Linked DNA regions of Elephas maximus indicus. The protein of the gene in region 2 purifies or fractionates together with the protein of the main gene of each other region. This does not show direct contact. Links are inferred from orthologs where the notes say so. Each region holds a gene or a part of one and is shown on either strand. Other genes may lie near its edges.

Region 1 (7,142 bases), on a different chromosome or scaffold from region 2:
TGTGGAATAAAAATACGACCACCAAAAAGTTAATTGGGAATACTATGGTAAGACTGGAACCAGGGTTGCCTGTCCGACGTCCATGCAGGACAGCTAGCATACTTTGGTTCCAAAACCTAGACCCATGTCCTTCATGCATATTCATAACCATAAAAGTTAGACGAGCGTATGTAGTTGACAGAGTACAAATGTATCCCCTCGACCAGATGATGACAAGTTGCAACCCTCCTACTGAGAACGTGTTGTCTTTTATACAGAAGACAGCAGAAAACCAAAAACTCACTGCTAAACCAATTAAGAGCTCAAATAAACCTTAGGCAACGCATTTGCATTGTTTCTGCATCACAGATTATCTGACTTTGTAAGGATAACCATCTTTTCATCACAGGGTGGTGAGGAATTAACAAAACCATTGTAAAAGGTTTTGTAAGACCATTTACACTCAGGAATGCTGATTTCATTAACTTTTTGAGACATTAACAAAGGATAAAGTCCTTTGACAATCACATTGTATTTTCTTATTTACAATGCTGCACTTTCCAAAGTGCTCAAAACAATTCATTTGTTTTCCTTTTGACTGTAAGTACATTTTTTTCTCACCAATTAAAAAGTCTTTGGTAGAGAAATTACTGAAATAGAAACGACCCCTGCTTCTCAAAAAAAAAGTAGCTCTGCTTCTGTTTTCAAAGTGTTTTTGATAAAATGTTGAAACTCTGCCAGCTGCCCAAAAAACACCATCCCAGCTTTGGCAGAAAAAGGAAAAACATCTCAAGTGAACTATATTTGTTTCTGGATCATTTGTCACAGCAAAAGGTTTTTTTTTTTTTTAACAGTATCAAGTACAAATATCTATTTGTAGAAAAGGCAAAGAACTGTCTGCTTAATAAAGAACATCGGCCTCTTCACCCTTTAAAAAAGGGAAGAGCTATTTCTAAAACAAAAAATGCAGTTTTCTAGGAAGAGGGTTTAAAAGGGTTGTTTTCTGAAACTGTTCTGTTTTCTGAACTTAAATTTTAAGTTCATCAAAAAATGAAATCCTAGAAACTCCCAAGCTTTTTCAAAATACTTTTATGACAATCCCAAATCCACTCGCTCAGTAAAGACACTTTAAAATAACAATGTGCTATGTACACCTTTTAAAACTACCCATTTACTAGAAAATGAACAGACTTTCAGAAGGATGAATTCACTTTTGTAAGGTGCAACTTAAATTCCTTTCTGTAAATCAGCCTCCACTGTAAAAAACAAACCTGAAAGAGAAATGAACTTCAGCTCTTGGCAAATAAGAGTCATATTGGGGCAAACAAGTCATATTGGGTTTCACATTCTTTTAAGATTATCCTGCCTAATTAAAAACTAATAATAAAAATATATATACATATGAAAATGCCTTGAAAAGAAGTTAATTTTGAAATGAGGGCAGTAAGCAAAACACTTAGGTTTAAGGCAAAGAAAATAATGATGGGCACATAACTGAAGAGAAATTATGTTCATACCTCTTTTTAAAAAAAAAAAATTGGGAGGAAAACATGCTTACTTTTAATGTAATAATGTCTTAACCTTAAAAAGGGAAGAGTGAGAAGATCATAATATGGCCCCACTTTACGGAACTCCCTAAAAACAAATTGGAAGCTTACAACAGTCTTATGAAAGGAACCATTTCAATTAACAAGGTTGTCTCTTGAAAAATTCACCTAAAACGTCCCCCAGGGAACGACTTTATTTTGTCTTAGCTCAAATTTCAAGTTCATTACCTCAATATTTGAAAAGAATCACCTTTATTTTGTCCTCTATTCCCAGATTATTGTCCCAGAAAACACCTTCTATGGAAACAAAACAGCCTCATCAGTAGCCCCATAAATTAACAGAATTTAACGCTTTACCTCTCAACTTCACTGTCCTAACACTGCCAAGTTCCCCAGGGTCATTATAAGGCCCTAAGTTTTAACACTTTATTGCCCAGGACAATACAATGATGTCAAGCACCTCTACAGAGTGTACTTTGTGAAAATTTGCAGCGAGGTAAGTGCAAGTGCTCACCAAGGGGCCTGGCACAGAAACTCAAGGTAGTCTTAAAATGACTGCAGCCTGACAGCAGCCGCACCAGTTAAGGGTGGCTTCGGGTGGAGAGCAGGTTTGTAACTTCTAGTATTCCCAAACCTTTCACTGAAATATTGAACAGGTGCAGAAAGTGAACTTAAACCCCTAGAGTCTGGAAATGTTTAAGCCATGCCAAGCTCATCAGTTCCAACTTTAAATTTAAAAATCCTGTGAGTTCTGCGTGCTATCCTATCCGTGGTTTCGTTTGCCATAAAATCGGAGTCGGTTACTTACCCTGCGGGGGATCGGAGCCCCCGGGACGCTGCGCCATGGGTCCTCGCAGCTGGGACAACCGCAAAAGCAGCCGCAGCTCCCCACTCCCAACCCGACGCGCCACCCGGACACTGGCCCCGAGCCCGCCCTAGTTCCAGCCCCAGAAGCGCTCCCGAACGGCGACGCCCCCAGAACGCAGAGCCCTCACGTGACGCCCGGGGCGTCTCTGCACCCTGGCGGAGCGCTCAGTGACGCCGGTGCCAACAGGCGACCCCAACCTCACGGCGCCCCACATGGGGACCCACGCTCCCGAGAGCGCACAGTCGCACGCAAACACCCGACTTACACCCTCACTTCTCCTACCGTACACCCCCAACGCCCGCGGCCGGGCTGCACCCCCAGCCGCCCCCGCGTACCTGTACCCCCAAGTGGGCAACAAGGCCTGGCCCAGATGCGCGCGCAGCTGCCCCAGCGTCGGCTCCGCTTCCGACATCTCCAGCGGCCAGGTCCGCTTCTGAAGCCGGACCCGAAGCTTCATGGCCGCGGCGGGGGTACCCAGGGGCTCGGACCCGGGGGCGGCGACAGTGGCGACGGCGGGGCCCAGCAGCTCCCGCCTCAAGCGGAGACCCAGGAGCGACAACTACCGGTGTTGTTAAAGTGCTGATGTGTAACGGGTAAAAGTCGCCGCCACGGCGGCCTAGGCCTAGCTCGCTAGTCCCTAAAACAAGGGCGCTCTGTCCCTCCTATAAGGGCGCCCCCTAGAGCCGACCCGCAGAGCGAGCAGCTGGCGACCAGCGCCGAGCCCAGCTGCAAAGGACCTTCCGATCGATGACTCGGCGCGCTACGCCGCTACCTGGGAGCGCGCGGCTTCCGGGCCGCCCGGGCGCCGCGGTCCAAGCTGACGGCGCGGAAGGAGGAGCGCGCTGCGCAGGCGCCCAGACGTCGGGGTGCGCTGGTACCCCGGCTCTTCCGCAGAGGCTGCTTTCTGACGTCTGAAAGGTGTGCTGGGAAGAACGTTATTGCTGAAAGGGATGCTGCGGACCGTACAACTCACCACGCCCCATGGCTTATGGGTACCTAGTTCTTACCCATTTCCTGCGTGGCGAACGACTGTTCCTTCATCAACGCCCAGTTCTAGTGGCACCTGCTCTGAGAAGCCCTTAGATTGAACCCCGGCTCCGGTAACTTCCTCCTTTTGTGCTTCCGCAGGGCTGTGTTCAAAAAGAATTAAGGGGAATAATGTATGGCAAACCACTGAGTATTGTCATAATTGGTCTCCCCAGTTACTGTGTTACATCACGCAGTTTCCTTCTTAGAGTTCATCAAAATCTGAATTTTTCTTTTTAATTGAAAATTAACTAATTGTTATTGTAACAGTTACTAATTGTTCGCCTACCACAGGCGAAGCTCCTGCCTGTAAGATCAAGGATCAAGTCTATCTTGTTCACCACGCGTACGTTGTTGTTGTTGTTTGTAGGTGCCCTGGAGTCGATTCCGACTCATAGCGACCCCTGTGCACAACAGAACGAAACACTGCCCAGTCCTGCACCATCCTTACAATCCTTGTTATCCTTGAGCCCATTGTTGCAGCCACTGTGTCAGTCCACCTCGTTGAGAGTCTCCTCTTTTCCGCTGACCCTGTACTTTGCCAAGCATGATGTCCTTCTCCAGGGACTGATCCCTCCTGACAACATGTCCAAAGTATGTAAGACGCAGTCTCGCCATCCTTGCCTCTAAGGAGCATTCTGGCCGCACTTCTTCCAGGACAGCTTTGTTCGTTCTCCTGACAGTCCATGGTATATTCAATATTCTTCGCCAACACCACAATTCAAAGGCATCAGTTCTTGGTCTTCCTTATTCATTGTCCAGCTTTCACATGCATATGATGCGATATGAAAATACCATGGCTTGGGTCAGGCCCACCTTAGTCTTCAAGGTGACATTTTTGCTCGTCAACACTTTAAAGAGGTCCTTTGCAGCAGATTTACCCAATGCAATGTGTCTTTTGATTTCTTGACTTCTGCTTCCATGGCTGTTGATTGTGGATCCAAGTAAAATGAAATCCTTGACAACTTCAACCTTTTCTCCGTTTATCATGATGTTGTTCATTGGTGCAGTTGTGAGGGTTTTTGTTTTCTTTATGTTGAGGTGTAATTCATACTGAAGGCTGTGGTCTTTGATCTTCATCAGTAAGTGCTTCAAGTCCTCTTCACTTTCAGCAAGCAAGGTTGTGTCATCTGCATAACTCAGGTTGTTAGTGAGTCTTCCTCCAATCCTGATGCCCTGTTCTTCATATAGTCCAGCTTCTCGGATTATTTGCTCAGCATACAGATTAAATAGGTCTGGTGAAAGAATACAACCCTGACGCACACCCTTCCTGACTTTAAACCAATCAGTATCCCCTTTTTCTGTCCCAACAACTGCCTCTTGATCTAAGTAAAGGTTCCTCATGAGCACAATTAAGTGTTCTGGAATTCCCATTTGTCGCAATGTTATCCATAATTTGTTATGATCCACACAATCGAATGCCTTTGCATAGTCAATAAAACACAAGTAAGCATCCTTCTGGTATTCTCTGCTTTCAGCCAGGATCCATCTGACATCAGCAATGACATCCCTGGTTCCACGTCCTCTTCTGAAACTGGCCTCAATTTCTGGCAGTTCCCTGTCGATATACTGCTACAGCTGCTTTTGAATGATCTTCAGCAAAAAATTTTGCTTGCCTGGGATATTAATGATATTGTTCTATAATTTCCACATTCAGTTGGATCACCTTTCTTGGGAATAGGCATAAATATGGATCTGTTCCAGTCAGTTGGCCAGGAAGCTGTCTTCCATATTTCTTGGTATAGACGAGTGGCCACCTCCAGCGCTGCATCTGTTTGTTGAAACATCTCAACTGATATTCCATCAATTCCTGGAGCCTTGTTTTTCACCAATGCCTTCAGAGCAGCTTGGACTTCTTCCTTCAGTACCATCAGTTCCTGATCATGTGCTACCTCTTGAAATGGTTGAACATCGACTAATTCTTTTTGGTATAATGACTCTGTGTATTCCTTCCATCTTCTTTTGATGCTTCCCATGTCGTTTAATATTTTCCCCATGGAATCCTTCACTATTGCAACTCAAGGCTTGAATTTCTTCTTCAGTTCTTTCAGCTTGAGAAACACCGAGCGTGTTCTTCCCTTTCGGTTTTCCATTTCCAGCTCTTTGCACACGTTATTATAATACTTTACTTTGTCTTCTCAAGCCACCCTTTGAAATCTTCTGTTCAGTTCTTTTACTTCATCACTTCTTCCTTTTGCTTTAGCTGCTCAACATTCAAGAGCAAGTTTCAGAGTCTCCTCTGACATCCGCCTTGGTCTTTTCTTTCTTTCCTATCTTCTCAATGACCTGTAGCTTTCTTCATGTATAATTTCCTTGATGTCATTCCACAACTTGTCTGGTCCTCAGTCACAGTTGTTCAGTGCATCAAATCAATTCTTCAGATGGTCTCTAAATTCAGGTGGGATATACTCAAAGTCGTATTTTGCCTATCGTGGACTTGCTCTGATTTTCTTTAGTTTCAGCTTGAACTTGCATATGAGCAATTGATGGTCTGTTCCACAGTCGGCCCCAGCCTTGTTCTGACTGACGATATTGAGCTTTTTCATCGTCTCTTTCCACAGATGTAGTCATTTTGATTTCTGTGTGTTCCATCTGGCAAGGTCCATGTGTACAGTCGCCGTTTATGTTGGTGAAAGAAGGTATTTGCAATGAAGAAGTTGTTGGTCTTGCAAAATTCTGTCATTCAATCTCCAGCATCATTTCTGTCCTCAAGGCCATATTTTCCAACTACTGATCCTCCTTCTTTGTTTCCAACTTTCGCATTAAAATCACCAGTAATTATCAATGCATCTTGATTGCATGTTCGATCAATTTCAGACTGCAGCAGCTGATAAAAATCTTCTATTTCTTCATCTTTGTCTCTAGTGGTTGGTGCGTATATTTGAATAACAGTCCTGTGAACGGGTCTTCCTTGTAGGTGTATGGATATTATCCTATCACTGACAGCATTGTACTTCAGGATAGATCTTGAAATGTTCTTTTTGACGATGAATGAAATGGAACGCATAAACATCGATATTCTAGGCATTAGTGAACTGGGATGGACTGGTATTGGCCATTTTGAATCGGACACCTGTACATATTATGCCATAAATAAATATAAATAAATAAACATTTGTGGTGCATGTGATAAGTGCTAACAGCAGGAGTATGTACATGATATGGAGTTGATTAACTGGGAGTGACACTTAAACTGCATTTTAAAGTATAACTAGGAATTTCCCAAGCTTAACAAAAGCAGGATTGAGCAATAGAGAGAGAAGAGTATACAAAGGTGGGGAAAGGTTAAATGGCATGCATATTCAGGGTAGCAGTAAGTTACAGAGCTGAAGACTTATGGGCTATTGAGAACGCTGTGTTGTAATTGTTGGGATTACTTGCTACTCAATACATTGTAGGTGCCTGAGATTGGAGACTGAATCTCAGCCCTGAGACAGCATCTGGGCTTGGAAGATGCTCAATAAATGCGTTCTAAATGAAGGAAAGAATTAATGAATGAACCCAATGGTTCTTAGGACTTTGTGCGAAGGAAATTAATCATCTAGAGCTTATGTGAAAGGACAACATACACAACAGATAAACTCTATAAGGGGTGATGGGCTGAGATTCACTCCTTAACTTCCCAAGCAGTGAGACTCAGCAGTATGAAATTTGGACATCTGACTTACTCATTTTCTAGACTCAAGGCCCACCGTGAGAAGTTCACAAAGTGATGGACAAAA
Region 2 (8,131 bases):
TACAATGGTGATAGTATCACTTAACCTTGCCTAACTCACAGGTGAGGAAAATGGTAATGAATCCTATAAACCAAAAACAAAACCCGCTGCCGTTGAGTTGATTCCGACTCATAGCGACCCTATAGGACAGTAGAACTGGCCCATAGAGTTTCCAAGGAGCACCTGGCAGATTCGAACTGCTGACCTCTTGATTAGCAGCCATAGCACTTAACTACTACACCACCTGGGTTTCCAGAGAATCCTATACATGTACAATATTATCATACCTAAGTGTTAGACAATGTAGTTCAGATTATACATGGTATCGGAATTCAGAAAAGAAAAGAGTTCTGTGTGGGTTGGTGTACTCTGATTTTAAAAATAATTTTACATAAGCCAAGAAATATGAAACGCAGCATACAACCAAACTGAGAGTTGTACCACCTAATTTTGATAAGCAATCTTTGGGAAATGCCTTCTCTATAGTATCAAAATATTTTGCAAAGCGACAAAATGAAAAACGAATGGCAAGTATTTTTCTCATTTTATAGTTGGAGAAAATAAGCCCCAAAAGGCTACTGTTTTCAGCATTCTTGCCTACCCACACAGTTTCTTCAGGAAATGAATAGTAGGAAAAAGTCCTTATACAATTCCAAAGCTCCCATCATAAAAGTGTTTATGCCAGAAAAAACCATGGGGAAAATCAGAGTTGACTGCAATTATTTCCTATCATTTTTCAAGAACTAACTCAAATTCATCTTTCTTCTAAACCACATTGATCTTTCCTTTCTCTGAATGCCCTTAGGAATCACTGCTGAAATCATTAATTTAAAAACTAATACTGACTAGTGATACTTCTTTTATCATACAAAATCACCTTGTAATATGCATTTCCTTGTTTCCTTAATGTTTTGGACTAATCTATGTCTAATATGTTGTACACAAATAGGCTTAAAGCACATTTTACTTTTCAAAATTATTTCACATACATTGTCATGATAAAACAGAAGATTTGTAAAGATACTGACTTGGTTATTCTACTTAAAAACAGCTTCTAAATAATTTGCTTATCAAAAGGCTCAGTATTCAAAATAACGGACAAATTTATTCTCAAACAAAACAAATTTACTCCTTTGAAAGACTAGTTTACAAACAGAACTTCTACAAACTAATCATCTAATTTCATTAAGTAATTTCACTTGAGGAACAATCCATACAATAGATGTTTAATAAACCACTTTCAGGACTCTCTTCTTCAGGAAGACTAGAACACACAAGTGAAGTCCATCAGAGGTCATTCTACCTTTCCAGCCTGACAATCAGATGCCTGCTGAGGCAGCAGCTGTGAACACATTTTTTGCCTTTGTTCATACATACACTTTAAGAAACCTTGGATTTAATAATTTTTCTTTCTTTAAACCCAAGATGAACTGTCAGCTGCTCTCAAAGTTTTCTCTAAATCTCTACAACCAGAAAGAATCTTTTTCCTCTGGATTACCTGAGCACAATCTCTTCTTGCTCTGCATTACCTGAGAAGTTTGATTGTAGTTTTCATATAACACTTCATGTAATTATTGGTACACATATCCGAATCCCTTATTAAACTGTAACTTCTTTTAAGATTATACACCTAATAATCTTAGGATAGGGGTTGTTTCTCACTCTTCTTTGCATTCCCCCAGCACCTAGTACTGTAACGTACACATAGGTATCCAAAACCTGTCTGTCAAACCAACAATTAAATCATCTCTGAGACAAAGCAAAATGCTTTTTCAACAGTAGCACGTCTATGATCAGTCATGAAAACACACACTTAGATTTCTCATGTCAACGACCAAAATCTTTTTTGAAGTATTTGAGTATACACTGTAGGAGACAGTATAGTACAGCAAATATGGGCAAAAGGTCTGGAGTCACACCACATAAGTTTGAACCCTGGTTCTGCCATTCGTGACCTTGGGCAAGTTTCTTAACCTCTGTGCCTCAGAACTAACATCTGTAAAGTGGGGATGTAATAGTGCTTATCTCAAAAGGTTAAACGAATTAGTAAATCATTTTAAGCACATACATAATAAGTGCTTAGTAGTAGTATTGTTGTTGGATGTTATAGACTCGATTGCGACTCAAGCGACGCTATGTACAACCGACGAAACGCTGCCCGGTCCAGCACCTATAAATTACTACCAAGTATTTATCACTCTCCTGGGCGTTCGCACGTAATTTACCTCATTCACTCAATCCTCACAGCAATCTTGTGAGGCTGGTAATACTAATCTGATTTTACGGATTAGAAAATCTGGGCACTGTAAAGTAACTTGTACAAAGTCACAAAGCAAGAAAGCGACGGGGGCTGGAATCGTGTCTTCTAATTCTATTAACTACTAAAACATAAAGAAAACTTGGCAGCCAGTGCCCAGGAAAACTAGAAAAGGAGCATAAGAGCTGAGCCAAGGGAAGAGACAGCGGAAGAAAAGAAAATACTAAGCTTCTGGTCCCACAGTCTCACTCTCCCCAGGATTCCACGAAACTAATCTCACTGGTAGCGACAACAGGAAACTTACCAGGGGAGCCTAGTGCTGGGCAGCGGTTTAAGCACTTACAAACTAAACTCTCTTAGGCAACTCTCTCCTAGCAAGTATTTAGCGAAGGCCAGTGCACTGAGCACTGACCTAGGAGCCCTGGGAGGAATGGCTAGCAAGGTCGTAAGCTTGTCTGTCTCCTCAGCTCTAAAAGATAAGTGGATGGCAGGCCAGGGCGGGTCCTAACTTCCAGACGTCCCTGGTACCCCAACCCCCCGCCCCCGAACTCCCTTCTCTGCCCCAACACCCAGGCCCGGCCGGGCCTCCCCTGCTTCCTCTCACCGTCCTTCATCTGGACAATATTGCTGGCGGCCACCCGGTCGGAGGCGACCAGGACGTAGTCGGGGCCCTGGATGCCTATGAGGTACTCCATAGTGGCGGGAGGCCGGAGGCTGCAGGTTCTACAGAACGCACGTCTCGCTGGCTTCTCGGCCTCACCGGTGAGACAGCACAGCAGGTCACAGCTTCACGCGACGTAGGCCGCGCTACCGCCCCGGTCACCGGCGCTCTCGGATGACGTACAACTGTCGCGAGAGGTCGGAAAGCGAGTGTGGTGCTAGGTGTGTTAAATCTGCGTTTGCCTCTTGCCCTGACGGTGTCTCTTCCAGTAATGGCTCTGTAAGTTACTTTGTGCAACGCCCTATTTCCTTATCCGTAACCCCCCTGAGGGGGAAGTTACACACCATATATGAAGTGCCAACCACTTATGGGTGCCCTAAAGCGATGGTCCCAGGTGGCCGTTTCCCCTTGTTACCCGGTAAAACCTTTCCAAAAATCTCTTACCCGAAAGACGAATTGGAGAAAAAGTGAGAGGATTCCCTACTGAAACCTTGGTGGAGTAGTGGTTAAGAGCCATGGCTGCTAATCGAAAGGTTGGCAGGTCGACGGGATGCAGACCCCAAATTCTCGTTAAGACCAGACTTAATGGTCTGACACTAGAAGGACCCTGGTGGTCATGTCCCCCAGACCTTCTGTTGGCCCAGGACAGGAACTCTTCCCAAAGCCAACTCTTCAGACATGGATTGGACTGGACAATGGGTTGGAGAGGGATTCTGGTGAGGAGCGACCTTCTTGGATCAGGTGGATTCTTGAGACTATGTTGGCATCTCCTGCCTGGAGGGGAGATGAGAGGGTGGAGGGGGTTAGAAGCTGGCGAAAAGGACACGAAAAGAGAGAGTGGAGGGAGAGAGCAGGCTGTCTCATTAGGGAGAGAGTAATTGGGAGTGTATAGCAAGGTGTATATAAATTTTTGTGTGAGAGACTGAGTTGATTTGTAAACTTTCACTTAAAGCACAATGAAAATTATTAAAAAAAAAAAAAAAAAAGGTTGGCAGGTCGAATCCACCAGGTGCTCCCTGGAAACCCTGTGGGGCAGCTCTACCCTGTGCTGTAGGGCCGCTATGAATCCGAATCGACGACAACGGGTTTGAGGGTTTTTTTTGTTTGTTTGTTTTTATTAAAGACGCAGCATGAAGGTGAATCATAAAAACAGCGGGAAAAAAATAGAATATTTTGATAGTCTTCGGAAGGGACACGTGCTTATGACAGGAAACCCAGAAGCAAGTTGGGGGGGGAAGAGGGGGGACAGAACCAAAACCAAACCAGTTGCCCTTAAGTTCATTCTGACCCATGTGTATCAGAATAGAACTGGGTTCCATAGTGTTTTCAGTGACTGATTTTTGGAAGTAGATCACTAGGCCTTTCTTTGGAGGAGCCTTTGGGTGGACTCAAACCACCAACCTTTTGGTTAGCAGCTGAGCACAAAACCATTTGTGCCACCCAGGGACCCCCATATAGAAAAAGACTGGCAGGTATGACTATATAAAATTGCAAGTTTCAGTGGCATGAAAAGGAAACCCTAGTGGTGTAGTGGTTAAGAACTACAGCTGCTAACCAAAAGGTCAGCAGTTCAAATCCACCAGGCACTCCTTGGAAACCCTATGGGGCAGCTCTGCTCTGTCCTATAGGGTTGCTATGAGTCGAAATCGACTCGATGGCAGTTGGTTTGGTTTTTTGTTTTGGTGTGGTGAAAGTCACCATACTGTTCAAAGATAAGTATAAAATGATAATTTTTTCAATATATGAAGTAGTTAACATCTGTAACTTTAAAAAGTTTCTACAAATCAATAGTGGAAAGAACATAATTTTTAAATGGCCAAAGTTAAGAACATGCAGTTCGCAAAAGAAGCCATACAAATGGCCAAGAAACATGAAGAGATCCTTAGCCTTGATGGAGATTAGGAAAATGAGAAATTTAAAATCACCAGTGAGATTATGAATTGTCATGGCCCTTTTACAGAGAACAATTTGATAATATACATTAAAATGTAAGTGTATATAAGCTTTTAAATGTGTCCTAAAGAAATATTTGCATAAATACCAAAATATTTGTTAAGAGATATCCATTGCAGCATTGAAACAGCAAAAAAAAAAAAAAAAAAAAGGAACCAACATACATGTCCATAAGTAGAGGAACTGTTATATAAATTATGGTACACTCATGCAGTGGAATATTATGCAGCCACTAAAAAGAATGAAATGAACCTAAATATATTAATATATTCCACATGGCCCAAAATATGTTAAGTGAAAGTGAAAATGCATTCCAATATGTAGCATGATGCCATTTTGTAAAAAATATTAAATAGAATTAGAAAAAGATCTGGAAATAAACATGTCAAATTGTGTGCAGTGGTTACCTCTGGGGAGTGTGATTTGAAGGGAGGATTTTCACTTTGTATTTTATGCACATCTATATTATTTGAATGTTTTGCAACACTCATGTATTCATAATTTTTAATAGGTTAAAAAAAAAACTTTATATCTTGGAACCATTATATCTTGCAGCTGTTCTGGGAAACTGACATATTCTATGACTAGTTTCTGTCATCTCCAACAGAGTTTTCATACTAACTAAGAAATGAAAAAAAAAGTTGCAATTACATCTCGAAACACAACTATGCAGTTCATTTACCTCTGCAGAAATGTGTAGACCCTACTTCCTTTTGAATGTTTCTTCCAGTTCTCTGCCCATAAAGGAACATAGAGCCTGAGGAGTGTGGGGCAGCCCATCTATCATGAGATGGGTGCCATGGGCAAGTGACGTTATTAAGTCAACCACCCTACTAGAACACAGCTGCATCCATTATCCTATAAAGATCCTTTTCTTAAACACTACTGGGGAAGAAGCCTCTCTTGCTCCCTCTCTCTCTCGTTGTGTGTGTTTATGTGTGTGTTTTAATTACAAAAAGTACACAGTTGTATAGTATATGTGTATACACAGACACACACACACATAATACAAGAGTGAGAAGTTAAATACTCCCCTCCCACCAGAGATCTATATCCTTCCAGGCTTTTTCCTTTGTACATACCAATATTCATCCATTGAGCCATTCATTGATTCACAATAGTTGCAGAATTCTGAATTGGAAGATACACAATCTTAAAAAAAAAAAGACCCAGAGATCTTTTAAGCTGACTCTTCCGTCTTTCTCCCCAGGACTCTTTTTAAATTTCTTCTAGCTAAGTAACACTACAGCTGTCCTAACTTTGTGTTAGTATAGAAGAAAGTGGGTTTTTAAGACCTAACATGTGCTATGTCTCACTAAAAAATCAGGGAGAACCCCACTTCAATTTAAGTCTTAGAATAACTAAGTCATAAAACTAGCAAAAAGTCTGTGAAGGTTCAGAGATGCTAGAATGTCTATCGGAAATTGTGGAGGAAGGAGTAAAAGGCACTAAAGTGGGCAGGCTAAAATTGGTCTACTCAGTAAGTTCAGAAAATGCACTAGCTAATCAAATGCTTTGGGAAGACACATTTAAAGAAAATACAAGTAAGGGGAAACTAGTATCATTGAAAAACTCAGTAGTGGCTGCCATCTGTCAGGTGGATCTGACAGTAGGAAATGCTTTACAGAATGGGTCTCCCTATTACCAGTGGAAATGACAGGATCCTAAAATAGCAGTGGCCAGCACTTAGCCATCAGAAGCAAGACAGGTGTAATTACCTCAATGATCATCAAGGTCAGAATGTCAGCCAGGGGACTTTGACCTGCAGAAACCTATGGAAATGGCACAAAGAACATAGTTTTCCTAGAGGTAAGGTAGATGGGCAGCCAACAAGGGTATTACTTAGTATATCTACTTAAGAACAGATGAGAGGATGGAGGCCAGCCACCCCAATAGAAAGTTACAATCCCTTGCCAAGTTTCTAGACCTGAGTGAGTTTCAGACCCAGAATCTGTTGACTAAAAATGTGCTGGTTCCCCAGGTGGAAGGACTCTACAATACCAAGACAAGTGTATATAGCAGTGATTCCCTCAGTCATTCCCTGAGGGGGTTTATGGTAATTTATTCAGGTAGCCATATGCTGGGGGAAAGGGCATGCCCAGATTTTTCAAGAGCTGTTGGGTACAAGACCTGGGTCTTGTTATACCTGAGGACCCAAAGTGCCATCGTGGCTCCCCTCTTATTGGGGGCCAGGTAAGAAATAAAGTCCTAGTCCAGTCCATATCGCAGTGGATCCATTGGGTTGATTCACCCAATGGTCACTTCCCTGATTCTTAAGTGTATAATTAGAATGGACATAGTTAACAGTTGGCAGAACTGTCACATAAAATCCTTGACCTTTACAGCAAAAGACATTGTAGTAGGAAAGGCCAAATGGAAGCTCCTGAGACTGCCCCCATTCTTAACCACTAGGGTATATAAGAAATAACCAAAACCAAACCAAACCTAGTGCCGTTGAGTCGATTCCGACTCATAGCGACCCTACAGGACAGAGTAGGACTGCCCATTAGAGTTTCCAAGGAGCGCCTGGCGGATTTGAACTGCCAACCCTTTGGTTAGCAGCCGTAGCACTTAACCACTATGCCACCAGGGTTTCCGTATAAGAAATACCACATAGAAAATATCTAAAATGGAACACGACTGGAAAAAATGAGCAGAACACCAATGAAATGTGGGTCGAGGTCAAGTAGCCTAATATATGTGTAATTGAAGTTCCCGAAGGAGGGAGGAAGACAAAAAAATTTAATAATGAGAAAAAAGTTTCCAAATTGAATGAAAAATAGAAACCCATAGATCCAAGAAGTTAAACGAACCCCAAGCACAGGAAACACAAAGAAAACTACACTGAGACACATTACAAATTACTTAAAATCAATATTAAAGAGAAAATCCTAAAAGCAGCCAGAGAAAAAAGCCACTTCATTTACAGGGGATCAAAGATATGAATAACATCAAACTTCTTGTGAGAAACAGTAAAACCCAGAAGACAGTGGAAAACATCTTTAAAGTACTGAAAAAAAAATTAACTTAAAATTCTATTTTCTTTTTCAACAGACTTTTTCAGTCATACAAATCTGAAAAATTCATCACTGAAAGACCTACATATAAGAAATATTAAAGTTCTTCAAGTAGAAAGAAATTACACCACATGGAAACCTAGACCTACAAAAAAAAATGAAGAGTTCTGGAAATGGTGACTAAGTAGGTAAATATGAAGACCTTGTTTCTTATTATATAAGTATCTTTAAAAATAACTAGCTCTTTAAATAATAACAGTGTTT

Evidence for each region.
Region 1: the proteins of PSMB2 (region 2) and FBXO7 purify together in Homo sapiens (affinity purification with mass spectrometry; 3 studies listed by BioGRID and IntAct, counting the BioPlex papers as one, with this or other methods). This does not show direct contact. The link is inferred for Elephas maximus indicus from reciprocal best matches to the Homo sapiens genes PSMB2 and FBXO7.

What each region holds. Positions count from the first base shown.
Region 1 is NC_064822.1:175,191,028-175,198,169, reverse strand, and holds the start of FBXO7 (F-box only protein 7), read right to left. Parts: upstream 3,095-7,142; 5' UTR 2,852-3,094; coding exon 2,730-2,851; intron 2,450-2,729; exon of another isoform or gene 2,372-2,449; coding exon of another isoform or gene 2,335-2,371; intron 1-2,334. UniProt on the Homo sapiens protein: Substrate recognition component of a SCF (SKP1-CUL1-F-box protein) E3 ubiquitin-protein ligase complex which mediates the ubiquitination and subsequent proteasomal degradation of target proteins and plays a role in several biological processes such as cell cycle, cell proliferation, or maintenance of chromosome stability.
Region 2 is NC_064821.1:76,947,594-76,955,724, forward strand, and holds the start of PSMB2 (proteasome subunit beta type-2), read right to left. Parts: upstream 3,075-8,131; 5' UTR 2,932-3,074; coding exon 2,841-2,931; intron 1-2,840. UniProt on the Homo sapiens protein: Non-catalytic component of the 20S core proteasome complex involved in the proteolytic degradation of most intracellular proteins. This complex plays numerous essential roles within the cell by associating with different regulatory particles.